Sus scrofa: one gene and its partners. The main gene of each other region encodes a partner of the protein of the gene in region 4 in a complex. Links are inferred from orthologs where the notes say so. Each region holds a gene or a part of one and is shown on either strand. Other genes may lie near its edges. The genes, in order: DNAJB13, DYDC2, DYDC1 and NME5.

Region 1 (7,630 bases), on a different chromosome or scaffold from region 4:
TGGCATATGGAAGTTTCCAGGCTAGGGGTCAAATTGGAGCTGTAACTGCTGGCCTACGCCGCAGCCATAGCAATGCAGAATCCGAGCCAAGTCTGTGACCTATACCACAGCTCATGGCAATGCTGGATCCTTAACCCACTAAGTGAGGCCAGGGATCACACCCACATCTTCATGGATACTAGTCAGATTTGTTTCTGCTGTGCCACAACGGGAACTCCCAATTTTTTTTTTTTTTTTTTTTTTTTTTGTCTTTTCTAGGGCCATACCCATGGCATATTGAGGTTCCCAGGCTAGGGGTCCCATCAGAACTATAGCCGCTGTTCTACACCACAGCCACAGCCATGCCAGATATGAGCTGCTTCTGCGACCACAGCCCACAGCAACGCCGGATCCTTAAGCCACTGAGCAAGGCCAGGGATCAAACCCGCAACCTCATGGTTCCTAGTCAGATTCCTAGTCAGATTCGTTAACAATGGGAACTCGTAAAATTTTTTAAAAATTGAAGGAGAGGGAGTCAAACATTTCCTGGTTCCAGTCTGCCTCCAGAGGGATGTGGTAATTTCTTCTTGCCTGCAACCATTCCCAGGTGGGCCTGGTGGGGATGCTTCCTGTGAGCTAAACCAAGGTATTTTAGCTGATGCAGAATACCTGGGAGGCAGGGTTCCCAGAGATGGGCCATTATGTATAATTTACGCTTATAGGCAACATCCCTTTAGTGCTTAACTTGTAATTATGAGGACAGCTCCTCGGACAAACGGGCTGGAGCCTGTGAGGCGGGAACGGGAGGCTGGGTATTACACTCGGGGACTGAAACGGTGCGGGATTGTCCGTGAACATGAGTTTCTGGACACAGTTTCTCTTACTCCGTGCGTCTCCCCACCTTCTGCAGAGTTTTTTGATGCAGAAGGAAATGAGGTGGATCTTAACTTTGGGGGGCTCCGGGGCCGCGGGGTCAAGAAACAGGACCCCCCCATCGAGCGAGACCTCTACTTGTCTCTGGAGGACTTGTTCTTCGGCTGCACCAAGAAAATTAAGATCTCCCGAAGGGTGAGTACCGCGAGCCTCCTCCTAACCGCTCTGACCCGAACCGGAGACCTCGGGTATGGCCTCTCTCGGGATCATGGCATCTTAGATTTGGGGACCTAGGATGGTGGAATTCTAAAATCTGACCTTTGGAAGGGACAGTCGGGGGTATTAGCTGGGGTTCTTTCTGAGTTCAGGAGTCCCCCTGCATGCCCCCAACTTCTCAGTTCAGCCCCATCCCTGAGGAAACTGGGAGTCTCCTGTGATTTCTGCCTTCTGGGCGTTACCAGCCCATACCCTGTGGGTTCCTGGGTGTGTGCCTCCTGAGTAAGAAGGTGCCCTGTGGGCATGGGAGGGGGAGGCTGGGGGACAGTCCCTAAGGGGACTTGGAGAAGACCCTCAATGCCTCAGGGTCCAGCCCTGTGCTAGCCCCGTGCCATGGTCCACATGAGCACGGCCCCCTCCAACCTTTGCCCGGCAAAGGAGATGCCAGTTGTAGCCATGCCTTGCACAGATGGCCCCCATGTGGGCCTGTGATTGGGGGGTGGGTGACAGGTGACATACAGAGGAGTGCTGTGGGTGAGGCTCTGTGGTCTTTCTCCCTTGGGAATTAAGAGCCCTGCTGGAGGCTCGGGCAGAAGCCGCGGGGGTGGGAGAGGAGGTGGGTGTGTGTTCCCTGTGTATCTGTCAGTGGCCACAGCCGTGAGTTTCTAGGACTGGAGTGGGTCCTTGGTCAACTCACGGTGACACTTGGCACCTCGGACCCGAGCCCCATGTCATGCCCTGGCCCTCCTGGCCTAAGTTCCTGGTTTCAGTGGAACGGGCGTGGGGTGGCTCTGGCAGCTTCTCCCCATTGCTAGAGGCCACCTGGCAAACCTCCGTCCCGTCGTCTCGCCGCAGGTGCTGAACGAGGACGGGTTCTCCTCTACCATCAAGGACAAGATCCTCACCATTGACGTGAAGCCTGGGTGGAGGCAGGGCACCCGAATCACCTTTGAGAAGGAAGGGGACCAGGTGAGGGGAGGGCTGCTCCCTGGGGCCAGTCCCCCGGGTCCGCGTGGTGGGAGGACCGAGGCGGGAGGAGGCAGTGCGTGTTCTTGGTCCGGCAGGGAGGCCGGTCTGCAGAGTGGGCGAGCCGACCCCTCATGTCCCTCCCGAGGGACTGAGCCTCACAGGACATCCCCCAGGACCGAGTGGGCAACCGAGGCCCAGAGAAGGCAGGGACCTGCCCAGGGCACGGGCACCAGAGCAGGAAGGAGAAGCGAGTCCTAACACCAGTGTTCCCCCTGATTTTCTTTAGCGCTTCTCTGAGTCAGGCCCACCTCTAGGAGCTACGCAGAAACCGTTTGTTCACAAGGTTTTTTCTTTGGGCCCCCACGGCCTATGGAGCTCCCGGGCCAGGGATCAGGTCCCAGCTGCAGCTGTGGCCTACGCCGCCCCTGCAACAATGCTGGATCCGTTAATCCACAGTACCAGGCTGGGATGGAACTTGCATCCCGGTGCTGCAGAGATGCTGCTGATCCCATTGCACCACAGCGGGAACTCCAATGATAATTTTAAATTAAATGCTTATTTAGATGAAAATACAGAGTGATTGTCCAAGGCATGCTGAGTCCTCAAGTTGAGAAGAGGCAGTGATGCTATCCTTATTGCCAAGAGAGATGAATTCCTTTGCCATACTTCTTGCTCCCTTTTTTGCCCAGTAACACCTGCTTCCAAAAAACCCACTTCAAGATCCAGCTGCCAGGCTCTGGCTCTGGGCAGCCTTCCCTGTCCCCCCACCTTGGGACAGCGCCTCTCTGATCGGTCTTGAGCCTGCTGAGGATTCGCTACGTGTCCGTTTCCCCACCAGACTGGAAGCTCTTGGGGGTGGGGGCCAGTCGGCTCTCAACCCCCAGGGCCCAGGAGAGCCCTGCGGGGCTCTGGGGCTCAGTGCAGCCTGGCGGGACAGACCGGCAGGCAGTTCTGCCCCGAGCCCAGCGTTCCTCTCATGGTCTGAGGACGCCTCTGTCCCCGCACCCCGGCTGCAGGGGACGGGGAGCCGGATTGATCGGCGTAGGCTTTTCAGAGGAGGGACTGTGAGACCAAACTGGAAAGACCCTCCAGAAAACATGGTCTCATCTTCTCATGGTTCAGATGAAGACATGCAGACAGTAGAGGCAGGCCCTCGGCCAAGGTCGCACTGTTAACCCCTGTCTCGCCTTGGCCTCCTCACCCAGGGTCCCAACATCATCCCCGCCGACATCATCTTCATCGTCAAGGAGAAACTACACCCTCGCTTCCGCAGGGAGAATGACGACCTGTTTTTCGTGAACGCCATCCCCTTGGGCAAGGTGAGTGGGCGGAGCTGGGGGGGCCAGAGGCGGGCCGTCTGTTCAAGCCCGGGAGGCCCCCGGGGAAGTGGGCCTGCGCTCCCCTGGTACCTGGTGCCGGCCTTCAGACCATGGTAAGGGCCACACCAAGTCTTGGCGGCTGTGTCACTCCTGAGTGTCCCTGGCCCCCACGCCCTCACAACCCGGGCACGAAACGGCACCGCCTGCGGTTAGGCACTGAGTCCTCTCGCTTCCTCCTCCAGATGGCCCTCCCTCCGGGCCAGTTCTGTTCCCCCCACCATCGGGGCTCTGCGTGGCTTCCCGCCTTCCTTCTCACGTCCTCCAGGCACGTCCCCAGGGTCTTTCCACAAACTCATCTTTTAATCTGACCTGGCCACACTCTTGTCTAAACACCTTGGCGTGGCCTTCAAGGCCCTCCGCCTTCTGGCCCCTGCTGAGCTCAGCCCCTGCTCTCCAGCCACTGCCACTCAGGCCCCCTCAGCCTGGTGCGCTTTTCACACCTCCGTTCCGCTGTCTCCGCCGGGCCTCTGCCTGAGCACTGTCGCCCCTGCTTGTCTAACTGGCAGCTTATCCTCACCCTTTATCAACTGTGGCCACCACTGTGTGTGGCCCTCCTGCCCGACCCTGGAAGGTTTGGGAGGCGCCCCCCCAACCCCGACCCCTTTCCTTCCCTGTATCATAAAATGTATCCACATGAGTCTTACTAGCAGATCGAACTAAGGGCAGGCAGTTGCCCGGCTCACTTACTTGTTGGTATTTGAACATCCTTTTGTCTCCTTGTGGCCCCGCTCAGGGCCTGGCACTGAATAGTCTCATAAAGAATGGACACAGGGGAGTTCCCGTCATGGTGCAGTGGAAACCAATCCGACTAGGAACCATGAGGTTGGCGGGTTCCATCCCTCGCCTCGCTCAGCGGGTTGAGGATCTGGCATTGCCGTGAGCTGTGGTGTAGGTCCAGACATGGCTCGGATCCAGCGTTGCTGTGGCTGCGGTGTAGACTGGCAGCTGTAGCTCCGATTCCACCCCGGCCTGGGAACCTCCATAGGCCGCAGGTGCGGCCTTAAAAACAAACAAAACAAAAAGCAAAACAAAAGATGGACACAGGGACCTTCCTCACTCCCACCTCTGGCCCCCATGTCCTCTAGGCTCTGACCTGCTGCACCGTGGAGGTCAAGACCCTAGATGACCGTCTGCTCAACATCCCCATCAATGACATAGTCCAGTGAGTCCGTCTGCGTGGGCCCCATCAGGCAGGAGGGCTGCCTGGCCCTGAGAGGGTGTGTCAGACGGGCCAGCCTAATATAGTTGTTCAAGTTGCACACAGCACAAGGGGGTGAGAGAGGCTGAAGTCCAGCGGCGACTCTGGCCAAGCTGTGGGCTACAGTTACCTGGCCAATGGAGTGCCTTCTTCTGTCCAGAGGCCCCCAGGGGCGAGCAGTCCTTCCGCCTTCATCCTCAAGAACGTCCAGAGTTCTGAGTTGCTTCCACTAAGCCCTTTCCCAAGCAAGGCGCTGTGCGTGGGACGCGTGCTCAGCAGCCCCACGCTCCCCTCCCCAGCCCAGGGCCTGCTCACTTTCCTTCCCTCCTTGTCCTGTATCCCATTGGAAATGAGATTCCTGGAGTCCCCCATCAGAGACTCAGTGCAAATGGGTTTTCAGGGAGCAAGTTGTCTGGAACAAGCCAGTCACCCCTCCCCTCCCCCGAGTTCTGGAAGCCGGGGCCTGCCCCCCAGGCCTGAGGTTACGCGGGCAGGGGTGGATGGGATCTGTCCCAGGGCAGCCCTGGGGCGTCCTCTGAGCCCCTCCTCTCATCCGCCCGTCTCAGCCCCAAGTACTTCAAGAAGGTGCCGGGGGAAGGGATGCCGTTGCCAGAGGAGCCCGCCAGGAAGGGGGACCTCTTCATCTTCTTCGACATCCAGTTCCCCACCCGCCTCACACCCCAGAAGAAGCAGATGCTGCGCCAGGCGCTGCTGACGTAACTCTGGTGGGCTGGGGCTGGAGCGGGGGGACGAGGCGGCGGCTGGGCCTGACCGCGCCCCTGCGCCCCCAGCCCCAGGGTGTCCCACTGCACGGGCCTGAGGTGAGGATGGAATGGCATGGAACCTTTGAACTGACACAATAAAGTTCTCTTTCCTGTCCTCCAGCTCTACCCAGGAGAGCGTGTGCTGGACGGAGAGGGGCCTCACACAGCCCTGACTGTGGGGCAGAGGGGGGCCGGGGCCCACGAAGCTGAAGACCTGGGCCCCTGCCCTGGCTGTGGGCACCTGGCCAGGCCCCCGAGGGCTCAGAGCCCCTGTGCTCCCATCCCGATAGTGGGGCCATGCTGCATGGCCTCTGCGTGTCACCAGCTCTGCTTCTCCTGACACACGACGTCAGGCTCTGGTGTGACGTAGTCACGTTGTACTCAGGAACACAGAAGGACAAAGAGAACGGGGTACTTTTCCCAGGCCACATGGGACTCAGTGGCAAAGCTGTCAGCAGAGCCTTGAAGGCCACGTCCCACCACCTCACGCGCTGCGCTGCGAGGCAGCGCCCAGGACTCAAGCCTGGGAACGGCTTCCGTCCCTGCCGTGCGGCCTCCGCTGCCTTGGCTGTGCGCTAGGTCCTGCGCTGCCTCCAGACAGGGTCCTGGGAGACTGGGCTCTGCCCTCAGCCCTGCCCTGACTCCTCAGAAGGTACCTGTCTTGTTAGTAAGGTGGCACCTATAACCCTCCCCGAGCTTCCTGCCGATGAGAGTGCTTGGCGAGCTCTCTGCCTCGTCACCGGCGTGGCCCGCGGGGCGCCAGACTCCGGGCTGGGCAGGCGGCCTGCAGCCCCTCTGCGCCAGGAGGGCCCCCCACCCCGGAGCCTGGGTCTGGGCTGCGAGACCAAGCTTATGACATCGGGGGGCCACTTTTGAGGAGTGACTTCAGAGGTGCCAGAAGAGGGCCCCACAGGATCCACAGTGCTTGGATTCTACCACTCAAAGCGTCGTCATCTTGGCTTAAGGGGCTTTTCTCAAATGAGGGCTCAGTATCAGCCCTTGAGCAGACCTGCAATGTGGGGCTGGGGACAGTGTGAGCTCCCGGAGTTCCCGTCGTGGCTCGGCGGAAATGAATCTGCCTGCATCCACGAGGACACAGGTTCCATCCCTGGCCTTGCTCAGTGAGTTAAGGATCCAGCATTGCCGTGAGCTGTGGTGTAGGTCACAAATGTGGCTTGGATCCCGAGTTGCTGTGGCTGTGGTGTAGGCTGGCAGCTGTAGCTCCGATTAACCCCCAGCCTGGGAACCTCCATGTGCCGCCAGTGCGGCCCTAAAAAGCAAAAGCAAAGCATGTGAGCTTTGGAGTCTGAGATACTTCTGGGTTCCACCTGTCAGCTGAGCGCCCCTCGCTTCCTCTCTCTGAGCCTGTTTACAACCCCTATCTTGCAGGTCCCGTGGAAACCAGATGAGTGAGGCAGATTCTGCCCTGAGGCAGGACCTGGGTGGAGAGGTGGTAGTAGGTGCCCTGTTCTGAGAGCAGGTTGGGTGAGGCCTGCCCTGTGGGATTCTGGCACCCCAGCTCTCCTCCAGGCCAGGAGGGAGGCAGCTTGTAACCAAGTCCTCATAGGGACTCTCAAGGAAGCCTGGTCTTGGGCCTGAGGGGAGCCCTTAATGAGACTGTTAGCACCTCGGTGCTACCCTGTATGGCAGGTGTGTGATATGCGTTAAGGCCTCCTGGCTCCTGCAGAGGAGCTGGCTCCATCTAGGCCTCCTGGCTCCTACCTGGTTTCCCAGTTCATCGTCTCAGGATCTCGATGAAGTCGGGTGGCCTCACGTCCACGCCAGGGACTGAAACACAAGGCTAGTGAGGGAACCAGCTGCCAGACACACCAAGGGCAGCCCGTTGCCACTCGGTTTCCTCTGGTGCAAACAGTGAAGGGCCTGCCTGCAGAATTAATGTGAGGCTTAAGGTGCATTAGACACATTTACCCCCTGCCACCTGCACCCTGGCTTGGCTGACGGCACCCACCCCTGTCCCTCTTGGGACTGAGAGCCCAGCTGTCCTCCTCCACAGCCCTGACATCCTGGACCCAAGCACCGAATGGCCCAGCCTCCAGCTCAGGCCAGTGGGGAAGCACAGTAGCACCAGATGCCTTCAAAAGGCAGGGCACATTCTCTGGGCCTGGAACCACAGCTGTCCAGCAGGGTTCCTGAAGGACCCAGCACCGGCCCCTGGGGGAGGAGCCTGAGTCCTTGTCCCAGTTGAACTGCTGACTCCCGCATCCTGGCCTGTGGAACCGTCTCAGCCTTCG
Region 2 (8,122 bases), on a different chromosome or scaffold from region 4:
TTCATTATTCAAAAAATATATATTGATACAGCAGAAACTGACAGAACATTGTAAATCAACTATAACAAAAAAGAATATATATAGGAGTTCTCATCGTGGCACAGTGGTTAATGAATCCAACTAGGAACCATGAAGTTGTGGGTTCAATCCCTGGCCTTACTCAGTGGGCTAAGGATCCGGTGTTGCCATGAGCTTGGTGTAGGTTGCAGACTCGACTCGGATCCCGCATTGCTGCGGCATAGGCCAGCAGCAAAAGCTACAATTCAACCCCTAGCCTGGGAACCTCCATATGCCATGGGAGCAGCCCTAGAGAGAGAGAGAGAGGGAGAAAGAGAACTTATTACATGTCAGGCATGAGCAATTATAGAAGACAGAATGCCAGTGTGTCTTGACCTGTTCTGGAATAAATGTACCTAACATTCTGCACAAAACCTCAGAAACAATGACCTTCTGAGTTTCATCCATATACTCCAATAGTGCTCTGTCTCATAATGTGGTGGCAGAGTACAAAATGGCATAATCCCATGGAGTAGAATTTGGAAATGTGTAGAAAATTACATATGACTTTACATTTTGACTCATCAGTCTCACTTCTGGGATCTTATCTTACAAAAATATGAATATATCCACCGGTTAGTCTGCACCATTACTAAGAATAGCCAAGTTTCGACCTCCATCCAAATGTTCCTCAATAAAGGACTGATGAGATACAGCAACACAATGGATTTTTGCGCAGAAAAAAAAGAGAAAGAGGAAGATCCCCCAAATTAGGAGTGATCCCTAGGACAAAGTGTGAAGTGAAAAAAAGCAAGATGCATAAATTGCAGTTTATATGCCGCCTTTATATTAGCAACAACAGTGGAGAAAGGAACGCTAATACATATATACAGTCATAAAAACAAATTAAAAACTGGCACAAACGAACCTAATTCCCTATCAAGCTAGTATTGATGTCTTATTACAGCTGAGTATGGAACACAGTATCTTCACTGCACTTCTTCAAAGACAAAAATAACTACATTGACAGCTTAATATCATTTGGAATGGAATAACAATTAAAAAGGGAGCCGATTCCTGCCGCTGCTCCTGAAAGATAACACATGGGAATGGGCCCGTGGTTCCTAAGGAGAAACCTCCAGTAAAGGGTTAGTCTCACATCTAGGCAGCCTGCATCGCATTATCAGCGGAACCCAGGTGGAACTCGTTACCTCGTTTGGCTTATTTCTTGTTCCTGAATTAGCGACATACCCATCTGAAAAGCCTGTTATAAGTAATGCTATTTTTTATACACACCAACAGCCATCCTGGCTCAAGAGAAGAAAGCATCTTCCCACAGAAAGAGCTGCCTCAAGCCTGCATAAGCTGTCACAAGAAACAGAAAGAGGTTCTTCGCTCCTGCTTGGGAGAAAGGTGGCCAGTGGTAGGGTTGCTTTTTTTGCAAACAAAAATACAGGATGTCCAGTTAAATTTCAGATAAATAAGGAATGATTTTGCATTATCCTATATTGTGCTAAAAAGCTATTCCTTATTTCTCTGAAATCAAATTTAAATGCGTACCCCGAATTTTATCTGGCAACCCTGGATTCCGAGCGCTTCGGTTGCTTTTCTATCCCAGGTCCCCGGCAGGGTGCCCGCCTTCCGTATCCCTCCAAAAGGCATAGCGCCGCTCACCACCGAGGAGGAGGAGGAGGCCGGCGCTGAACTAACCTTCCCGAAGCTCGGGGAGCATGGGCGTCTACTGCCACCGCAGCGCTCACAAGGTCCAACTGCAAAAACTGCCTTGGTTCGCAGGATTCAGCCCAGCACCTGAAGCAGTACTTCCACAACTGCGCCTGCGTCCTCTAAGCCGGCGCGGGACGCAGGCGCCTACCTACCCTCTAGTAGCGTCCTGTCGCTAGGCAACGAGCGCGAGCCCCAGGAGCAGGAGACTGCCTCGTGCTGAGAGGAAGGGGCGCGCCGCAGAGAGCGCTGGGCGAGGAGCGGAGAATTTGCAGCAGAGAGGAAGCGTGTCGGGCGGTGAGCGGCAGTAGGGCGGGGAGGAGGCCGCAGAGAGGAGAGGAGAGGCCATAGGAGAGGAGCAGAGAGGGGCGGGGTAGGATGCGCTATTGAGAGGAGGGGGCGCGCTAGGTGTGCGAGATTACCGATGGAGGGAAGGGAGCACCAGGGTAGGTGAGCAGAGACGTACAACCCAGAGGCTGTGAGAAGAGGACAGCCAAAAGGGGGAATCGGGCGGAGCTGGCAGGCTTGCGCACACAGGGAGAGAGAAAAGGGAGAGGGCTGGCCTGCGGGAGAGGAGCCTCGGGGCTAACGGCTTTAGAGCAGAGGAAGTTATAGCTACCTATAGCCTGGTATTTTCCCCGCTTAGCACCTTTGCACTTGCTGGTGACCTCTGTTTGGTTCCTGTCCACTGAAAAAAAATTGCACATCTGAGAGTTGTGAGTTGTTTTATTTGGGGACTAAACTGAGGACTTTAGCCCTGGAGATGGCCGCTGTGACAGCTCTAAGGAACTGCTCCTGCATGGAAGAAGTAGAGGGGTGGTCAGCATATGTGTGATTTTGGAGAAGGGGTACCTGCAGTCAAACACATATCTAGGTGAAAGGTTATTCTAGTCACCAGGCACAGATGACTTAATGATTTCAGTGCTTTCCTAAGTATGGGAAGATGCAAGAAACTGGGCTTATAAAATTTTTTCCTGAAAATTTCTAACTATCTGAAGGCCTGTTCTATCATTTTCTCCAGAGAACAGATTGCTTCAGTCCTGATATCCATCCTGAACTCCTTTTAGGTTGTGTTAATGACTCAGTTAACAACTGTAGTGGCTAAGCAATCCTTGTAGAATCAGCTGGCTAGCAATGTTCTTTAGTTGGCATTCCTCTCACTGTGATGTGCTCCCCACCTCCAGAAAGCCTTCCATCCTCCACCAAGCCCAACCATTTGCAGTCTTCCTTGGTTTAGTCCTTTGCGCACAGGCTAGCATTTCTCATGTTCTAATTTATGTGGGGCAGTACTGGGCAGGAGGTGCCTCAGTAAATGTTGGTTGAGTCATAGATGTTAGCATGGCACTAACAGATGGGAGGAAGCGTGAGCTCTTGCCTGGGCCCACAAGCATCGAAGTCCTGACTGATTAAGTCAAGAAATATTTGCTGAGCACTTACTGTGAGCCCAACACTAGGAATACAGTGTGAACAAAGACAATCTCTATACATATCGCCCCACCTGAATGCAAGGCCATGAGCAAGGAGGATCAGTACAAGCAGACCTCAGAGGAGCTCTGGAAAACTCAGAAAAATAGCCCCCGTCTCACTGGTGAGCATGGCCAGAGTTGGTGGGGAGTGGGCTGTAAAACACACCCCTTTAGCCCCTCTCTCTCCTGGCCTCACACTGTGGCTCTATTTCTCTGGCTCTACTGTTTTCCCATCAAGTCAGGCCAATGTATTTTGTTGAGACCATTGTTGAAAATGTGCAGTTTAGAGCAGATGCTTTCTCCAGAAAGGGTTGCCTCAGTGTGGCAGCCACCAGAGGACCAGGCAGTGAAGAGGCTTCCTGGGAAAGCAGAGATGGTGATTCTGCCCTCTGGGAAGGCCAATCCTACTGTGATAAAGGCAAAGTAGATCTGTAGCTGTGCCTTACCTGGGGATTTTGTTAAAATACATACTCTCGGAGTTCCCGTCATGGCGCAGTGGTTAACGAATCCGACTAGGAACCATGAGGTTGTGGGTTCGATCCCTGGCCTTGCTCAGTGGGTTAAGGATCCGACATTGCCGTGAGCTGTGGTGTAGGTTGCAGATGCGGCTTGGATCCCACATTGCTCTGGCTCTGGCGTAGGCCAGCAGCTACAGCTCCAATTAGACCTCTAGCCTAGGAAGCTCCACATGCCACGGGAGTGGCCCAAGAAAAGGCAAAAAGAAAAAAACAAAAAACAAAACAAAACAAAAAAACAGACTCTCCATCCATAGGTCTGAGCTGGGACCTGAGAATCTGCATTTCAGCAATCCTCAGGTGATGCAATGATGCAATGCTGCTGATCCTAGACCACACTTGAGTAGAAGGGGTGTAGAAGATAGTTTATTTAAGTGCATTGGTTAGGTGGGCCACAGATTGGCAGAAAAAGCCACCACCCATCCCCACCCTCCACCACTACCCCTAACTTAATGACTTTAAACACACATTTATTATCTTAACAGTTTTTGAAGTCCAAAATCCAAAATGAGTTTTAGAAGTCTAAAACCAAAGTGTCAGCGGGGCTGGTTCCTTCTGGAGGCTTTAGAGGAGAATACATTTCCTTCCTTTTCCACCTTCTAGATGCTACCCTTCCATTGTCACATCTCCTTCTACTGGTGTGACCTTACTGTATCCCTCTTATAAAGACCCTTGTGAGAGTTCCCACTGTGGCACAGCAGGTTAAGGATCCAGTGTTGTTGCTGTGGCAGCAGCAGGTTCGATCCTGGCCCAGTGCAGCAGCTTAAGGATCCAACATTGCTGTAGCTGTGGCTCAGATTTGATCCCTAGCCTAGGAACTTTCATATGCTGTGGGTATGGCATAGATAAATAAATAAATACCCTTGTGATTACACTGTGCCTACCTGTATAATCCAGTATAATCCCCCCCCAACTCCTTAATCACATCTGCAAAGTCCCTTTGCCACATAAGGTAACACATTTCTCTTTTTCTGGCCACATCTGTAGCATGAGGAAGTTCCTGGGCCAGGGATCAAACTGAGGCCAGGGATAAACAATGCTGGACCCTTAACCTGCTGTGCCACAAGAGAACTCCAGAGTAACATATTTCATGGGTTCCAGGTATGAGGACATGACAACTTTGAGAACTATTATTCAGCCCTACCACATTGTGTATTTCGTAAGAACAATGACATTTTCTTACTCATATTTTAATTACCAAAACCAGGAAGTTTAACTCTGATTCAGTTCTATTATGTAATCTACAATCCACATTCAGATTTCCCAACAATGTGCTTTACAGAATTCCAATTTCCTGTCCAGACCCAACCTTGGATCATGTGCTGCAAATAGTCGTTATGACTGTTTAGCCTCCTTTGATCTAAAGGCTGTTTAGCCTCATCTTTTTTTTTTTTTTTTTTTTTTTGGCTTTTATGATCTTGATATTTTTAAGAGCACAGGCCACTTGCAGTCTGTCTCTCAATTTAGCTTTGCCTGATGTTTCCTCGGTCAGATTCTAGTCTTGCGTTTGCAGCCGGAATCCACAGAAATGTATTATGTCCCACTAAGAAGTGCATCACATCAGGAGATGCGTGATGTTATTTTGTCCCCTTTATTGGTGATATTTACTTTGATCACTTGGTTAAGGTTGTGTAGGCCAGGCTTCACACTGTTAAGTTTCTCTATTTCCTTTTGGAATTAATCCATAATTTGTGGGGAGAAACTCTGAGACTATATAAATATCCTATTCCTTGTCAAGTATTCACTGAATTTTAGCGCTCATTGATGACTGCTTCAGTTACACATGATGGTTACAAAATGATTTAACTCCATTGTTCTTTCCACAATTACTTATTGGCATTCTACTTTAAGAAAGAATTACCAGAGTTCCCGTCGTGGCGCAGTGGTTAATGAATCCAACTAGGAGCCATGAGGTTGCAGGTTTGATCCCTGGCCTTGCTCCGTGAGTTAAGGATCCGGCGTTTCCGTGAGCTGTGGTATAGGTCGCAGACGCAGCTCGGATCCCGTGTTGCTGTGGCTCTGGCATAGGCTGGTGGCTACAGGTCCGATTAGACCCCTAGCCTGGGAACCTCCATATGCCACAGGAGCGGCCCTAGAAAAGGAAAAAGACAAAAAAAAAAAAAAATTATTTTCCCAATACATTATTTTTTTTTCTACTCTACAGCATGGTGACCTGATTATACATACATGTATACATTCTTTTTTCTCACATGATCATGCTCCACTATAAGTGACTAGATACAGTTCCCAGTGGTACACAGCAGGATCTCATTGCTTATGCATTCCAGAAGCAATAGTCTGCATCTGTTAACCCTAAACTCCTGATACTAGTCAGATTTGTTTCTGCAGATTGGAATGTGTCTATTTTAACTCCGTTCTTTTGGAGTTAAAATATGTAAGCTTCAGGAAAATGGAGATGATTAGGAATAAGCTGAGTGCTTGGCCATTTCATCTCTCAAATCATCCATTATAACAGCTCATTTTTTTTATGGCCACACCCATGGGATATGGAAGTTCCCAGGACAAGGACTGAATCCAAGTCACAGCTGTAACCTATGCCACAGCTGTGACAATGCCAGATCCTTTAACCCACTGTGCCAGGCTGGAGATTGAACCCACACTTCCACAGCAACCCAAGCTACTGCAGTCAGATTCAACCTACTGTGCCACAGCAGGAACTCCTATAACAGCTAATTTTTATTAAACATTTTTATACACCAGGCTATGTATTTCACATGTACTTATTATCTCTTTTAATCCTCACAATTATGAGATACATAGTTTTGTTATTCTGTTCCACAGATCAGGAAACAGACTCAGAGAGACTGGGTAACTTGCTGAAGATTACACAGCTAATAAACAGCAGACCCAGGACTGGAACTTAGTCTATCTGATCCCAGAGTCTGCATTCCTACTCCTACACTCCATCTCCACTCCATACTTATGGTCTAACTCAGGCTTCATTCCCTCCAGTTCTCAACATCTGATTGAGTAAATCCAGGAGCTCAACTCAACCTCGTTTCTTGCTTAAGCCATAGGGAATGGAATATTGTGTTAAGTGCTGGCAGAGCCCCTGACCAGCAGTAGCTAAAGTGCTGGGCATTTTCCCTCACTCTCCTCCTCAGGGCTTCTCAGTGGTGGTTGTGAAATATATAAGCCTGTCTTATCTGTGTCATAGATGAGTGTAAATTCCGACCTCACAATAGTGCATCTTGGTGGGTGCTCATAGCCCCTCTCGGGACCTCCTCCTTGCTCAGTTATTTCCTCCCTAATCAAGAGTAGAAATGCGTGGGTAGGTAGAGGCCTTTGTCACTCTTCAACACCAATCTGCCAAACTCTTCTCAGGCCTGATGACCCCCAGGACCTACTTTCCAACTAGGATAGATGGAGAGATTTAGAAAAAAGTTCATTTGAAGGTAAGATCTATTGGCAGGTACCTATTATTTATTGGTTCTTTGGGGAAGGGTGGGATCCAGAAACCTCTCTTATTTATCCTGAAATGAATCTGCACTGATTGGAATGTGTCTATTTTTCTTAAGTCCAATTAGATTTGTAGAACAGTGTGACTCTGTTTTGATGTTTCCCGAGCCCACTGAGATGGAAACCGAATACCTGAAGAAGTGCTTTGGAAATTGCCTGGTCCAGGCGCTGGCAGAGGTAGCAAAGGTTCAGCCCAGTGACCCCATAGAGTACCTGGCTCACTGGCTTTATCATTATAGGAAAACGGCAAAAGCCAAAGAAAAGGTATGCGTACACTGAATCAGGTTGGGGTGGGCTTTTCAGCTTTCCCAGAGTAATCTGAAATGCAAGGCAGGAGTCTGGAGCTGACCTGGGGAGTTTCTTGGTTTAATTCCACTTATAAGGATAGCTTAGGTCCAGATATCCCTAAAGTCTAGGGAGTCTGGGGGCTGATGTGAGACTCCATCTCAGAGGAGTGGTGGAGCTGGTGGCCTGGAGATCCTGGAGATTGAAGCTAGTTAGTTCCAGGAGCAAACTCAGGAGGCCTGAAGGGCCTGGGGCCTATGGTCTGTCCCAGAAATGGTGCATGCTTCCCCGGCTCACCTGATTCCACTCTGTTCTATCACCACAGGGCAGGCAGGAGAAGGTCCAGCTGCAGGAAGAGTATGATACTAGCCTCAAAGAAGCCAAAATAACAGAAATGCTGAAGCGAGAAGAGCGTGAGATTCAACAGGAATGTGAAAAGTGTCCCCAGGTAGGGAGGAGGAACTTGGCACTGGGCACGCACACACCCTGTGGTGGGTACCAGGAAATCCCTAAGTCAGCTCAGCAAAGGGCACTGAGCCTCCTGTGATCCTACTCTTCCCTCCATATTCATATGCTTATATATAAATCAATCTTATTGACAGTCCATGTCAATAAAATCCCTATCAATGAACTAAGAAAATGCTTAAAGGCAATTCC
Region 3 (7,675 bases), on a different chromosome or scaffold from region 4:
TCCTACTATATGGCACAGGGAACTATGTTTAATATCTTGTAATAAACTATAATGGAACAGAATTGAAAAAAAGAATATAAATGTGTGTGTATATATACAACCAAATTACCTTGTTGTATACCTGAAACTAACACAATATACAAATCAACTATATCTCAATTAAAAAAGGAAAAGACATGTCACAGAAATGTCACAAGATGATTAATTCTAGCCCCTCTGCTCTTCCCCTTTAAGAAAACCCCTAACTCAACGACCAATGTGGAGTGAATCTGAGCCTTGTTTCCCATTCCCTTGCTTAGCACCTTACGATAAATACTGCACCTTTCTTCACCACAACCCAGTGTCAACAGATTTGCCTTCAACACACCTTGAGTGAGCAGAGCCAAATTTGGTTTGTAACAGTGTCAACAGTGACTTTCATTTACCTTTATGATCTTAAACATCATTGGTTCCGTAATTTTTTGTCAGATAGAGAAGCTGAATATATCTTGACTTGCCCTACAAACCAACAGGTCCATGGCCTAACAGTGGTAATGTTTTATTGCGAATTTTTGAGCTAAGGCTAAAACTGACTTTAAGAACCATCTTCAAACACAATTATCAAACATTAAATAGATTTGGAAACTAGCTTTTGCTGCAGACTTAAAGATTTTTAATCAATTTGACTGAAAAGCATAAGGCAAAACAGCATTTATATGTAAAACTTAATGCTGCAGGAAAGTCATTTCAATAACAACTAATTTGTTTGAATCACAATGTCAAGCTGCCTCATACACTTCTACTGCTATCAAGAAACTAGATTTCCATTCCCACACAAATCTGTGGCAGATTTTCTAAGCTCAAACTGTAGTTCTAGAGTGTTTTTAGGTCTTGATATAAGTGCAAAGGAAATTTCCACATTTCAAAATCCATTTAACTGTGCGACTGAGAAGATTTTACCAACCCTCAACTGGAAGAATCCACAAGATAATGATATGATAAGGACAAATATCAAGAGAAAAACCTAGCAGAATTCTACAAGTGCCTTCTGAGAGATGAATACACTCAAAATTTTGTGCACATGGGCAGATATCAATATTTGGCAAGAACCTATTTGTGTAAAAAGATATTTTCAAAGATGAAACACATAAAATCTCACTACAGATCAGCATTAACAGATAAACATTGTTGGAGTTCCCATCGTGGCACAGCAGAAATTAATCCAACTAGGAACCATGAAGTTGCAGGTTTGATCCCTGGCCTTGCTCAGTGGGTTAAGCATCCGGCATTGCCATGACCTGTGGTGTAGGTTGCAGACACGGCTCAGATCTGGCATTGCTGTGCCTGTGGCCAGCAGTTACAGCTCAGGTCTGATTCAACCCCCAGCCTAGGAACCTCCATGTGCTGTAGGTACGGCCCTAAAAAGACAAAAGACAAAACAAAAAACAAAACCAGATAAACACTGTCAATCAATTTTGGTAATAGAGAACATTATTTTTTAACTCCAACTAAGTAAAATGCTATCTTTAGGAGTTCCTATTGTGGCACAGAGGAAACGAATCCGACTAGGAACCATGAGGTTGCAGGTTCAATCCCTGGCCTTGCTCGGTGAGTTAAGGATCTAGTGTTGCTGTGGATGTGGCATAGGCCAGCAGCTACAGCTCTGATTAGACCCCTATCCTGGGAACCTCCATATGCTGTGGGTGTGGCCCTCAAAAAGACAAAAGACAAAAAAAAAAAAAAAAAAAAGCTATCTTTAAAAAGGGAATGTAGATGTTCCCACTGTGGAACAGTGGGTTAAGAATCTGACTGCAAGAGTGCCAGTCATGGCCCAGCAGGTTAAGAACCCAAATAGTATCCATGAGGATGCGTGTTTTAATCTCTGGCCTTGCTCAGTGGGTTAAGGATCTGGCGTTGCCATGAGCTTTAGTGTAGGTCACAAACGTGGCTCGGATCTGACGTTGCTGTGACTGTTGCGTAGGCCAGCAGCTGCAGCTCTGATTCAACCCCTAACCCAGGAACTTCCATGTGCCACAGGTGTGGCCCTAAAAAGAAGCAGCAGCAAAAAAAAAAAAAAAAAAAATTCTGAATGCAGGCGCTTGGGTCACTGCAGAAGAATGGGTTCAGTTCCCTGTGGCATGGCACAGTCGATTAAAGGATCCAGTGTTGCTGCAGCTGCAGCACAGGTCACAGCTGTGGCTCAGATTCAATCTCTGGCCCAAGAACTTCCATATGCCACAGGTGTGGCCATTAAAACAAAACAAAACAAACAAAAAAAGGGCAGGGGATGTAATTCTTCTCAGTAGTAAGCCTACATTACAAAAAAATTTGCATTTGATTATTATTTTTAAAATTTTTATTTCATCAATAAAACATTTGTAGAAAATTGTTTTCTCTCTTGCTATATCTACATAATATACCTACATAATATCCCATAATATCTACATAACATCCTCAATTTTGCCTCTTGACCTGCAAACCGTAAAATATCTAACAGAAAGAGTCTGCCAACCCCTCAGCAATTTCTCACCATTAACCTAGTGCCACCCCATAAACAAGTTTATACAAGCTCACTCCATTAAGAGCATTTTAAAACTATTTTAAATTCATTTTAAAAATAATACACTTTTGCAAATAAAAACATAATAAACAGTGACTAACATTATTCACAAAGGGCTGTTAAAGGCAATTTCTTCATATTTCTGTATCATTCCCACTAAGATAAAAGTGATGGACTAGGTAGCCGAAATGTAGGAACACTACCATTCAATCGACTTTCAGAAATTGGTAGAGAAAGTGAAATAACTCTAATCTCTCAACAATAACCCAAAGTCCAGTTGTTACATACCAACCACACTGATCAACATCACCAGTTTCTTAACATTTTAAGGGAAATGTTCAAAACCCAATTGCTTTTCTTCATACATGAGTAAAACCATCTTAGAAAGACATTCAAATAAATTAAAAAAGCTTTTCTTCCAAAACAAGCTCTTAAATAGAAAACAACAATAAAAATATTTCCATATTCACAAAGGACCCAGGCTTGTGGGAGAGTGCCTAAAATTTCAATGAATTTCAAGTAGCGGTATTTACTACCACTGCTCTTGAAACAGACAAGCGGGTGACCAGAGTCCTGACCCTCCAGCTCATTTAACTCTGGGGACATGGAGAGGCCTCTCTATTCCTCTTCATCTCAGCCTCTCTCTCTCTCTTAAGCTCTTCTCTGTTGGTCCATCTCTCTGCATGTCCCTTCTCCTCCTCTCATCTATCTCTGCCCACCAATCCACTCCTCTAACTGGCCATCACATCTTCTGCAGGATATCACTATATCTTCCATATTCAATACAAGGCTTAAGGTTTGATGCACAGGGGATGGCTCCATATTGATACAGCCAGAGAAGTGTTTGGTTTCTGGTATCACCAAATTTTATCTAAGTGAAAAAGAAGATGAGTCAAAGAGAGTTAAGTATCTCCACATCTGTGATCTGTCTTGGGGAAGGAGAACTGCTGAGAGGGTCTCCTTCTTCTGATAGACAGGGAACAAATATCAGGTCCAGGAGCTGGAAGAGGCCGGGCAGATCCTCACTTAAAGCTGGGATGATGGAGTTCCTATCATGGTGCAGCAGAAACAAGGTTGCGGGTTTGATCCCTGGCCTTGCTCAGTGGGTTAAGGATCCAGTGTTGCTGTGGCTGTGGTATAGGCTGACAGCTGCAGCTCTGATTTGACCCCTAGCCTGGGAACCTCCATATGCCACAGGTGCAGCCCTAAAAAGACAAAAAAAAAAAAAAAGCTGGGGTGACTGCAGCAGATACTTGACTACCTGGGTGGTTGTTTGACATCCAACTCAATGCTATGCAATTTCCCCACAAAAATAAGCCCAGTGACTAAAAAAGCAGCAGCAAAGGCTTTCTTTGACAGCCAAATCCACCTAAGGTGTCTGAATTATCCTATTCCAGTATCAAGGATGGGAAGTAAGACAAAGAAGCTATTTTCCATGTTTACATTTTCTTTTTTACCCACACAGCCAAATAATAGGCTTCTTTCTCTTTCTATAACATACAAACTGGAGTTGAGACTGTAGAATTAGGTAGTGTACAATAGGAATAAACGGGAGGCTTGAACTTGGTTTAGAAGCTCTCCATAAATTAAATTAGTCCAGGAGTTCCTGTCGTGGCGCAGTGGTTAACAAATCTGACTAGGAACCATGAGGTTGCGGGTTCAGACCCTGCCCTTGCTCAGTGGGTTAAGGATCCAGCACTGCCGTGAGCTGTGGTGTAGGTTGCAGATACGGCTCGGATCCCATGTCGCTCTTGCATAGGCTAGAGGCTACAGCTCCGATTCGACCCCTAGCCTGGGAACCTCCATATGCCGCAGGAACGGCCCAAAGAAATAGCAAAAAGACAAAAAAAGAAAAAAATTAAATTAGTCCAGAGCCATTTGAGAAATTTCCCCTATTTGGTTTACACTCCATGACCTACCTCTTCAACCATTCTCATAGCAACATCTTTAGCACCCCAATCCTGCTAACCCAAACTCACTTCAGTCAAAGGGTCTGCCTGTTCCACCTCTTCATTCATATCTAAGCCTGAGTGAAGAAAACCACATAATCACAAAACCAAGCCAAAAGGCCCCATTATGACTGCTTATTCTCAGGGAATTCAGTGCTACCAAGGGATGTGAAGTTTCCCTGGTCAACTGGACTTCTCCAAAGCCACCGTTTTAACCCTTCACCCCTCTCTCCACACTTCCTATCTTACTCACCACCTCATTGTGAGCAGATGATCATGCTCCCTACTTCATAAAAAAGAAACTGCTTTCAATTTTGGGCCACAAGTAGGGAGTTCCCATTGTGGCTCAGTGGTAACGAACCCAACTAGTATCCATGAGGACATGGGTTCGATCCCGGGCCTCGCTTAGTGAGTTAAGGATCTGGTGTTGCTGTGAGCTCCGGTGTAGGTTGCAGACACAGCTCGGATCTGGTGTTGCTGTGGCTATGGTATAAGCTAGCAGCTGTAGCTCTGATTCGATCCTTAGCCTGGGAACTTCCCTATGCCACAGGTGTGGCCCCAAAAGACAAAACAACAAACAAAAAATTTTTGTGCCACAAAGAGTTCCCATTGCGGCTCAGCAGCTTTAGAACCTGACACAGTGTCTGTGAGGATGTGGGTTTGATCCCTGACCTCATTCAGTGGGTTAAGGATCCAGTGTTGCTGTGGCTGTGGTGTAGGCCAGTAGCTGCAGCTCTGATTTGACGCCTAGCCTGGGAACTTCCCTATGCTACAGGTATGGCCATAAAAAGAAAAAAAAAAAATTGTGCCATAAAACCTACACATCACATGTACCTACATCTTCTCCTCTTTTCCTGAATCAAAGAAGGGTCTTCCACCTGCCTAACCTATGTTTCAGACCCAACTTTTTCTGATCTCCATGTAAAGCTAACTTTAAGAATAATCCACTTTATTTCTTTACTTCAACCACTCCCCCTCCCACTCTGTTCCTTAAGGGGAAAAAAAAAAAAAAAACAAACAAACAAACAGAATTCCTTCTCTGAGAATCTTGAAAACATTATCTACAGCCACCATTTCTATCTCCCCTGCTTAACCCCAGCCCCCACACACTGCTCCCGCCAAGGTCACCCGTGGACTTAATGAGCACTTGGCAGGTTCTGATCTCACTGGACCAGCCATAGACATGGTTGACTACTCGGGTCTCAATGAGACATTGTCCCGTTGGCTTCTGTGACAGCTCACTCTCTGGATTTTCTTCCTACCCCACTGCTTCTGCTTCTCCAGCAAAGAAACACAGAGAGACATAAGGATGAAGATACATGAAAGCCACATCTAAGCAACCAGAGATGAGTTTTTCAGCACTCGGGTTGCACCACACAGAGGCTGACACCACCAATTCCAGTCACCACTGAACTCTTTTGTCTCACCTGCTGAAATAGGAGCTCTTCTGCTTTAAGTCTCTCCATCATTTCCTGCTCCATCAGAGCTATTTGTCTTTCATGCTCCAACTGGGCCATTTCCTCTTGTCTCTAGCATTGTTTTAAAAACAACATCATGTGACATCAGGTAAAACAATTTTTGAAAACATTCTTAAAAGCATGTTAATCTCCAACAGCAGGGAAAGGATTAAACAAATTATAGTCTGTCCATTTGGAAACTGCATAATAATTTTGGGAAATGTGTGTTTTATTTGAACAAAGAGCACAAAATTAAAATTATGAATTGAATATGATCAAATTACGTTTAAAAAATCTTAACATGAACACGTAGAAAAAAGACTAGAATATCTAAAAATACTTAAAAATCTAAATAGAAGTTTTTTGTTTTTTGTTTTTTTTTTGTCTTTTGTCTTTTTTTAGGGCAGCACCTGCAGCATATGGAGGTTCCCGGGCTAGGGGTCTAATCTGAGCTATAGCTGCCGGCCTACACCAGAGCCACAGCAACACCAGATTTGAGCCATGTCTGCAACCTACGCCACACTCATGGCAACACTGGATCCTTAACCCACTGAGTGAGGCAAGGGATCCAACCCACAACCTCGTGGTTCCTAGTCGGATTCATTTCCGATGCACCACGACAGGAACTCCTAAATAGAGGTATTTTGTTTTCATTTTTCTACTTTCACTTTTTCAGGTAGTCCAAGTTCATGTAATAAACATACCATTTTTATAACAGAAAGAAATGATAATGTCAAGCTTTAATAAAAAATGAAGAAGCTGGACCAATTATTTTACTCTTCTAATTTTAGGAAAAAAGATCCATACTTACCAGTTGCTCCCTGGTCACATTTTCTTTATACTTGTAAATCCACAATGCCAAATATTCTATTGGATCCACTGGCCGCATCCTTGCCACTTCTGCAAGCCCTTGAGTTAGACATGTCCCAAGATTCTTTTGAAGATACTCCGTCTCCATTTATAACTGCTAAGTAAAAACTTCTAAAGGACAAACATTTTGCATTAGTGCAGGAGATTTTTGATGAAGGCACAATCAAAGTAGAGACAAGTAAGGCCAACCAAGCAGCATATCCTGTCACCAGTCATGGGAACCTGCCATTAGGGATGGCGCAAGCAAGCTGGCTCTGGGGAACTTCTAGCATTTTCCAAAAATGTTCCACAGTAGTTGCTACAACTAAAATAGTTTCAAAATCCTGAAGGATCCTTGATTCCAAGAGTCAGAAAAGGGATACTGTCATTATTGACCATGAAATGGCTATATGGCAAGTGATGGCTCACTTAATCCTCGCATTCAGATACAAAGAGAATAAGTGAACAGCCCAGGTGGCACATGATGCACAGGGATCACACCCAACTCTTGATTCCAGAGTCGTTACCCTAAATGATTTACTAAGATGCTCCTCCCAACCCCTGAGAGATGTTTCTAGAAAATATCACAATAGTACCTTAAAGTTTTAAAAAGTCCACATACCTTAAGGCCAAAAAATAAGAAAAAATTAAACCTTCAAAGACTAGCACATGAAGCTCTTCATGCTCTGGCTCCACTTTTCTTTCCAAGCTCACCTCCAGAAATCTTTTCTGCTTCCAACATACTCTGGGCTCTAACCATACAGAACATCCTGTCATTCTGCTGCTCACACCTTGTGCAATTCCATCTCCATCATATGTGCCCGTGATGACCCCTCACTCTCAGTTTGGAGACTATCTCCTCACCTGCAAGGCATCAATCA
Region 4 (7,675 bases):
ATATCTGATGAGGTTAATATTCAAAATATACAAGGAAGTCATACAACTCAACATCAAAAAAAAAATTTTTTTTTTTTTTTCTTTTTGCTATTTCTTGGGCTGCTCCCACGGCATATGGAGGTTCCCAGGCTAGGGGTCGAATTGGAGCTGTAGCCACAGGCCTATGCCAGAGCCACAGCAACGCGGGATCCGAGCCGCATCTGCAACCTACACCACAGTTCACGGCCACGCCGGATCGTTAACCCACTGAGCAAGGGCAGGGACCGAACCCGCAACCTCATGGTTCCTAGTCGGATTCGTTAACCACTGCGCCATGACGGGAACTCCAAAAAAAATTTTTAAAGTGAATTTAAAAATGGGCAGAGGACCTGAATAGACATTTTTCCAAAGAAGATAGATAACAGACATATGCAAAGATGCACAAAATCACTAATCATCAGGGAAATGCCAAGCAAAACCACAATGAGATATTACCTCACATCAATCAGAACGGCTAGGAAGTTCCCGTGTGGCACAGAGGGTTAAGGACTTGGTGGTGCCACAGTTGTGGCACAGGCCACAACTGTGACTCCAGTTTGACCTCTGGGCCTGGGAACTTCCACATGCCATGGGTGCAGCCAAAAAACAATAACAAAAAATCAGAATGCCTATTATCAAGAAGACAACTAGTAACAAGTGTTGGCAAAGATATGGTGAAAAGGCAATTCTGGTGCACTGTTGGTGGGAATACAAACCGTTACAGTCACCGTAGAAAGCAATATGTAGGTTTGTCAAAAAATTTCAAACTACCACATGATCCATCAATTATACTTTTGGGTATTTCTCTGAAGAAAACAAAAACATTAATTTGAAAAGATATATGCACCCCTGTGTTCACTTCAGCATTATTTACAACAGCCAAGATGTGGAAGCAATCTGAGTGTTTGTCAGAAGATGAATAGCTTTAAAAAATATGAAAAAAAAATATATACACATACATACATATATATATATATATATATATATACACACACACTGGAATATTAGTCATAAAAAAGAAATTTTGTCATTTGCAATAACATGGATGAACATAGAAGGTGTTATGCTAAGTAAAATAAGGTAAAGAAAATAGCATATGATTTTACTTATATGTGGAATCTAAAAATAAACAAATAAACAAATACAACAAAACAGTACAGAGTAAACAAATACAACAAAACAGAAACAGAGTCACAAAGAACAAACAGGAGGATGCCAGAGAGGAGGGGGTAGGAGATGAGGGAAAGAGGTGAGGGATATTAAGAAGTAACAAATTTTGAAGTTCCCGTGGTGGTGCAGCATCAGAAAAGAATCCAACTAGGAACCATAAATTGCAGATTCCATCCCTAATCTCGCTCATTGGGTTAAGGATTCAGTGTTGCTGTGAGCTGTGGTGTAGGTTGCAGACGTGGCTTTAATCTGATGTTGCTGTGGCTGTGGCATAGGCCAGCGGCTGTAGCTCCAATTAGACCCCTAGCCTGGGAACCTCCACATGCTGCAGGTGCAGCCCTAAAAAAAAAAAAGTAGCAAATTTTCAGTTACAAAACAAATGAGTCATGAAGACGAAATGCATAGCAAGGGGAATATAGTCAATAATATAATAATTTTTGATTGGAATACAAAATGGTTTAACCACTACAAAAAGTAATTTGGCAATATTTATCCAAATTAAAAATGCACATATCAAAAATATCAAAATAACATTCTTTTGGGGAGTTCTTATGTGGCACAGCAGGTTAAAGATCCAGTATTGTCACTGCAGAGGTTTGGGTTGCTGCTGTGGCACGAATTTGACCTCTGACCCATGTGTGATGGGTGGGGCCAAAAGAAGTAACATTCTTTTGACTCAGTATTTCCATTTGGAGTAATTTATTCTACAGATATATTGCATACTGCCAAATGAATGAAGATAGGGTAATAATCTGTGGTAACAAAAGAGTGGAAACAACCTAAATGACCATCTATATGTGACTAATTAATAAATTGTAGAAGATTCATAATACAGAATGCCATAAGCTGTTCTTTTAAAATGGGGCAATTTTGTTTGTTATGCTATTTAATAATTTATAATATATATTAAGTAAATAAGGCAAAAAAGTGTCAAATAATGTGCATAATAACTAGCATTTGTATTTGTCTGTTTTTTTTCCTTTTGGCCCTGCCCATGGCATGCAGAAGTTCCCAGGCCAGGCGGGGATCATTCCTGGGCCAGGGTTCCAACCCGTGCCATAGTAGTAACCCAAGTCACAGCAGTGATAATGCTGTATCCTTAACCCACTGAACCACCAGGAAACTCCTGTATGTGTTTTTAAGTTCATACAAATATATATGCTTATTTATGTATAGATTTTCCCTGCAAGGTTATACTAGAGACTGATAACAGTAATTGACTCCAAAGAGTATAACTGGGTGGCTGAGGAACAGGAATGAAAAAGAGAGTTACTTTTCACTATATATTATTTTAGAAATTTTAGATTTTATACCATATTCAAACACTGTTTATTCAAAAAATTAAACAGTTAAAAAATAAAGTCAATCCTTTAAGGGTCAAAATAATTTTAATTTCATGTTTTGAAATATAATTTGACTTGTGATCTCTTTCCAAATAAAATAATTGTAATGTGCGTAAAATTTCATATCAAAGATATTTATTGTTACAGTATTTATAACTGCAAGCAGCAAAAGTATGGTAAAGGTAACAAAAGAAATATCATGTAATTATTAAAATAATCTTTATAAAATATATACTTAAACACAGCAATATTAACTTTCCCTCATGGCCTAGCATGTTAAGGATCTGGCATTGTCACAGCTATGGCTCAAGTCACTGCTGTAGTGTGGGTTTAATCCCTACCTTGGCCTGGGAACTTGGGCATGCCATGGGCACAGACCAAAAAAAAAAAAAAAAGTGTATGTGTGTGTAGCAGTATTTATGGGATGTGTTTATATACAGTCATATAAAAAATACAACCTGAAGAAAGAAAAAAAAAAAAAAACACAAGACTGGATTAGCTTCATTGGAGACACAGGCTTTAAAAAACCAAACAAACCAGGAGTTCCCTCTGTGGCACAGTGGGTTGAGAACCTGACTGCAGCAGTTCGGGCTGCTGCAGAGTCAGGGTTCAATCCTTGTCCCAGAGTAGTGGGTTAAAGGATCTCGTGTTGCCTCAGGGTGCAGCACAGGTCGAAGCTATGGCTCAGATTCAATCTCTGGCCTTGGAACTTCATACACAGTGGATGTGGCCGTTAAAAAACAAAACAAAAAACAGTAACAGCAGCAGATAATGTATAAGGACTTAATGCACAGGCACTTTGACTAAGAATTTCACATGCATTTATACTTTTAATCACAATGTCTCTGCTAGGTAGGTATATACTCATAAATATATCTACATCTTACTGATAAGAATAAAGAGACTTAGAGAAAAGTTAGGTGTCTGGAGTCAGAATTGAATCCAGGCAAGATGACTTAAATGGAATGAGGGCTATTTCTTTTTCTTCTTTACATTTTTCAGTAGTTTCAGGTTTTTCACTAAATAAAAATATATTATTTTCACAATGAGAGAGTGTTATTAAAGAAATCTGTCAATATTTTTATTTTTGGTAAAAGTGATAATGTTAGTGGGAAAGATTAAATCTTTTGTCTTCAAAGGGGATTCCCTTCCACAATGCTAACAAAGGCTAGAGACACTGTTTTGGTAGGGCTGGTACTAAAATAACCTTCCCTGACTACATATGAGGCTCTTCAAATAGGTGAAAGCATATGTCAAGAGGGATCCAGGCTGACATTTGGCCTTGGACAATCATTCTAGGTCCCCATACACAACGATTCTTCCACCTGAATGAGCACCATTGAGGCATCTAGGGATGTGAATGTGTTTTCTAGTTTAAAAAATATTAAACATGATTCAAGTATATATGGAATTTTATCATTTGATTATATAAATTATACACAAAAACAATGTTCAGCAATTACAGGATGCAGTGATTGAAAATGCACTTAGGAAGAATGTTTTGTTTTGTTTCTTTTTTGGTCACCCCATGGCATATGGAGTTCCTGGGCTAAGGATCAGATCCAAGCCATAGCTGCGACCTAAGGCACAGCTGTGGCAATGCCAGATGCTTAACCCAGTATGCCAGGCTGGGGACTGTGGGGACTGAACATACCTTCCAGTGCTCCCAAGACTCTACCAATCCCATTGCACCACAGCAGGAACTCCAGGAAGAATGTTTTTTAAGAGTTAAAACAGCAAGAAGGGAGTGGGACGGACTGGGAGTTTGGGGTTAGTAGATGCAAACTACTGCATTTAAAGTGGATAAGCAATGAGATCCTGCTGTATAGCACAGGGAAATATATCTAATCACTTGTGATGGAACTTGATGGAGGATAATGTGAGAAAGAGAATGCAGGAGTTCCCATCGTGGAGCAGCAGAAACGAATTCAACTAGGAACCGTGAGGTAGCAGGTTCAGTCCCTGGCCTTGCCCAGTGGGTTAAGGATTCGGCATTGCCGTGAGCTGTGATGTAGGTTAAGATGCGGCTCCGATCTGGCATTGCTGTGGCTGTGGCGGAGGCCAGCAGCTATAGCTCCGATGAGACCCCTAGCATGGGAACCTCCATATGCTGAGGGTGCAGGCCTAAAAAGACAAAAAGCCAAAAAAAAAATAAAGAGAATGCATACATAGGTATAACTGGGTTACTTTGCTGTACAGCAGAAACTGACAGAACATTGTAAATCAACTATAGTTTAAAAATTAAAAAAAAAAAATCAAGAAAATAAGTACAGTTAATCCTTGAGCAAGATAGGTTTGAACTGCAGGGGTCTACTTACATGCGGATGTTTTTCAATAGTAAATACTGCAGTACTACACAATCTACAAATGGCTGAACCCAGGATGAAGAATTGCACATACAGGAGAACAGATGTTGCAAGGACCTACTGTAAATTACATGTCAGATTTTTGACTGTGCAGAGGGTCAGTGCCCCTAGCCCTGACTTTTACTCGAGGCTCAACTGTAATAAAAAATTATACTTAAGGAAGTATCTAAAATGTACATAAAATAGTTTAAGTGACTCTCAATATGTTTCCAAGAATACAACACTTTAATTATGAAAATTATAGACAATATTCTTCAGTATGAATAAAAAGATTTCTTACTAAAGGATCTGCTGGTTTTTGCTTACAAAGCTCTGTAAGTCCTTCAAGCAGAGTTGGTATTACGTACAAATTTAAATAGTCCTTTGCAGCTTGTCCAACTGGAATGGGCTCAGTGATCACTGCAAATACAAATGCATTCCCATTAAGCCAACATAAATGATGGCATATTATGCAGTCATTAAAAAGGACACCTTTAAAGAAATTTTAGTAGCATGAGAAATACTTAGTTTTTCTTTCTTAAGGAAATAGAACTAGACACAGTTTAATAGCTTGTTCAAAAACATACAAACAGGAGTTCCCGCTGTGGCGCAGTGGTTAACAAATCCGACTAGGAACCATGAGGTTGCAGGTTCGATCCCTGGCCTTGCTCAGTGGGTTGAGGATCTGGCGTTGCTGTGAGCTGTGGTGTGGGTTGAGATGTGGTTTGGATCCCTCGTTGCTGTGGCTGTGGCATAGGCCGGAGGCTGCAGCTCCAATTGGACCCCTAGCCTGGGAATCTCCATATGCTGTGGGAAGTGGCCCTAGAAAAAGGCAAAAACAAAACAAAACAAAAACCATAAAAAACACACTCGTAAGATTGGCAAAATGCATCAAAATGCTAATGGTGCTCCTACATAGGATTTTGATTATGTTTTCAACAATATCCATTTCTGCATTTCCATGGTTTTTTTTTTTACAGTAAACATTACAACAGAAATGTTATAAAAATATGAATTATGTTAAAATCTCGGAGATTAATTCCTTACAAAAACCCATCAACAAATTTGGTAGGCACTTTTCAAAATGGTACAGGCTCAACAGTGAATAATAGGTGGTTCTTGCTCTTATAGTCTATAGTTAGACTACTGAATACACACATAAAACATATTTCAATTATATAGTATGCATTAATATTCCTGCTCTTGGAGTTCCCCTCGTGGCGCAGTGGTTAACAAATCTGACTAGGAACCATGAGGTTGCAGGTTTGATCCCTGGCCTTGCTCAATGGGTTAAGGATCTGGCGTTGCAGTGAGCTGTGGTGTAGGTTGCAGATGCGGCTCGGATCCCTCATTGCTGTGGCCCTGGCGTAGGCTGGTGGCTACAGTCTGATTAAACCCCTAGCCTGGGAACCTCCATATGCCGAGGGAGCAGCCCTAGAAAAGGCGAAAAGACAAAAAAAAAAAAAAAAAAAAAAAAAAAATCCTGCTCTTATTTTTCAGGTTTTAAAATAAACTATGTAAGTTTTAGGAAACTTTAGTCTTTTTAGTATTGTTTGAATACCATGTAGGTGAATAAGACTTGGAGTACAAAAAAAATGCATATTTCTACTAGAAAGAATTGTATAAATCTTTATAGGTCTTTCAAGGTTGATGTCCAGCAGTATGCTACTTTTGATAAAGATGAGAAAGTAAGGCTACTAATCTCATATGTTCAGATTTAAATCCTCATTGGAAAAACTGGCCCAAGGGAAAGGAGGGCAGGAGGATAGGTTTCTATATAACTGCATGTGTATGTGTATAGGATCAGTCTCAGTGAGACAAAGACTACCAGTGGGAATCATCTGCCAGGATGCCAGGAAAAGTTGGCAGAAGTCTTACAGGTCTTAGGTAAGAGGTTCATTTCCTATTAGTCTCATTATAGTACTTTTCATTACACTAATCACTGTAATAATTTTATTTTGATTATATAAACATTTCTGTCATTTGTCTCTTCTGCTCTGTAAGTTCCATGTTTTTTTAAAAATTTTTATTTTTTTGGAGGGAGTTCCCATCATGGCTCAGTGGTTAACGAATCCGACTAGGAACCATGAGGTTGCGGGTTCGGTCCCTGCCCTCGCTCAGTGGGTTAAGGATCCAGCATTGCCGTGAGCTGTGGTGTAGGTTGCAGATGTGACTCGGATCCCGTGTTGCTGTGGCCTTGGCGTAGGCCAGCAGCTACAGCTCTGATTAGACCCCTAGCCCGGGAACCTCCATATGCCGCAGGAGCAGCCCAAGAAATGGCAAAAAAAAAGACCAAAAAAAACCCAATTTTTTTTTTTTTTAATTTTTTTGCTTTTTATGGCCACACTCACAGCATATCGAAGTTCCCAGGCTAAGGGTCCAATCACAGTTACAGCCACAGTAACATGGGATCCGAGCCATGTCTGTGACCTACACCACAGCTCACAGCAACGCCGGATCCTTAAACCACCGAGCGAGGCCAGGAATCGAACCTGCATCATCATGGATACTAGACAGATTTGTTTCTGCCGCACCACAATGGGAACTCCTCTGTACATTCCATATTAAAACCGTATTTGTCATTGTTCAATCTTCTCAGATCCTTTATAGCATTTTAAAAATGAAAATCCGGGAGTTCCTGTTGTGCTGCAGTGGAAACGAATCTGACTAGGAACCATGAGGTTGTGGGTTCAATCCCTGGTCTCTTTCAGTGGGTTAAGGATCCAGTGTTGCTCTGAGCTGTGGTGTAGGTCACAGACACGGCTTGGATCTGGCGTTGCTGTGGCTGTGGCGTAGGCT

What was found.
Region 1: the proteins of NME5 (region 4) and DNAJB13 are in contact, whole or in part, in a cryo-EM structure (PDB 8WZB), measured with the Mus musculus proteins. The link is inferred for Sus scrofa from reciprocal best matches to the Homo sapiens genes NME5 and DNAJB13. Residues at the interface, in NP_542368.2 of Mus musculus: Glu52, His53, Asn56, Met193, Lys199, Pro200, Lys201, Leu202, Cys203, His204, Phe205; in NP_705755.2 of Mus musculus: Thr156, Lys157, Lys158, Thr181, Ile182, Asp183, Arg185, Trp188, Arg189, Gly191, Thr192, Arg193, Ile194, Thr195, Phe196, Glu197, Pro281.
Region 2: the proteins of NME5 (region 4) and DYDC2 are in contact, whole or in part, in a cryo-EM structure (PDB 8X2U), measured with the Mus musculus proteins. The link is inferred for Sus scrofa from reciprocal best matches to the Homo sapiens genes NME5 and DYDC2. Residues at the interface, in NP_542368.2 of Mus musculus: Arg140, Ala145, Val146, Ile147, Ile151, Pro152, Ala156, Ala157, Tyr160, Ile161, Tyr164, Val165, Thr168, Leu169, Leu173, Leu176, Cys177, Lys180, Pro181, Asp183, Pro184, Tyr185, Leu186, Leu188, Ala189, Asp190, Leu192, Met193, Asn196, Pro197; in NP_001347537.1 of Mus musculus: Asp2, Tyr5, Leu6, Cys9, Phe10, Gly13, Leu14, Leu18, Val21, Ala22, Arg23, Val24, Arg25, Pro26, Asp28, Pro29, Ile30, Glu31, Leu33, Ala34, His35, Leu37, Tyr38, Tyr40, Arg41.
Region 3: NME5 (region 4) and DYDC1 share a complex: the UniProt entries of both Homo sapiens proteins name them as parts of the axonemal radial spoke complex. The link is inferred for Sus scrofa from reciprocal best matches to the Homo sapiens genes NME5 and DYDC1.

The regions. Positions count from the first base shown.
Region 1 is NC_010451.4:8,349,910-8,357,539, forward strand, and holds part of DNAJB13 (dnaJ homolog subfamily B member 13), read left to right. Parts: intron 1-889; coding exon 890-1,047; intron 1,048-1,923; coding exon 1,924-2,037; intron 2,038-3,242; coding exon 3,243-3,356; intron 3,357-4,501; coding exon of another isoform or gene 4,502-4,578; intron 4,579-5,180; coding exon 5,181-5,477; 3' UTR 5,478-7,630. UniProt on the Homo sapiens protein: Functions as part of axonemal radial spoke complexes that play an important part in the motility of sperm and cilia.
Region 2 is NC_010456.5:82,195,299-82,203,420, forward strand, and holds the start of DYDC2 (DPY30 domain-containing protein 2), read left to right. Parts: upstream 1-1,895; 5' UTR 1,896-2,016; intron 2,017-7,045; 5' UTR 7,046-7,116; intron 7,117-7,239; 5' UTR 7,240-7,276; coding exon 7,277-7,444; intron 7,445-7,790; coding exon 7,791-7,913; intron 7,914-8,122.
Region 3 is NC_010456.5:82,186,824-82,194,498, forward strand, and holds part of DYDC1 (DPY30 domain-containing protein 1), read right to left. Parts: exon of another isoform or gene 7,509-7,675; intron 6,927-7,508; 5' UTR 6,904-6,926; coding exon 6,757-6,903; intron 6,018-6,756; coding exon 5,916-6,017; intron 1-5,915. UniProt on the Homo sapiens protein: Functions as part of axonemal radial spoke complexes that play an important part in the motility of sperm and cilia. Plays a crucial role during acrosome biogenesis.
Region 4 is NC_010444.4:140,142,088-140,149,762, forward strand, and holds part of NME5 (nucleoside diphosphate kinase homolog 5), read right to left. Parts: intron 5,297-7,675; coding exon 5,178-5,296; intron 1-5,177. UniProt on the Homo sapiens protein: Functions as part of axonemal radial spoke complexes that play an important part in the motility of sperm and cilia. Does not seem to have nucleoside diphosphate kinase (NDPK) activity.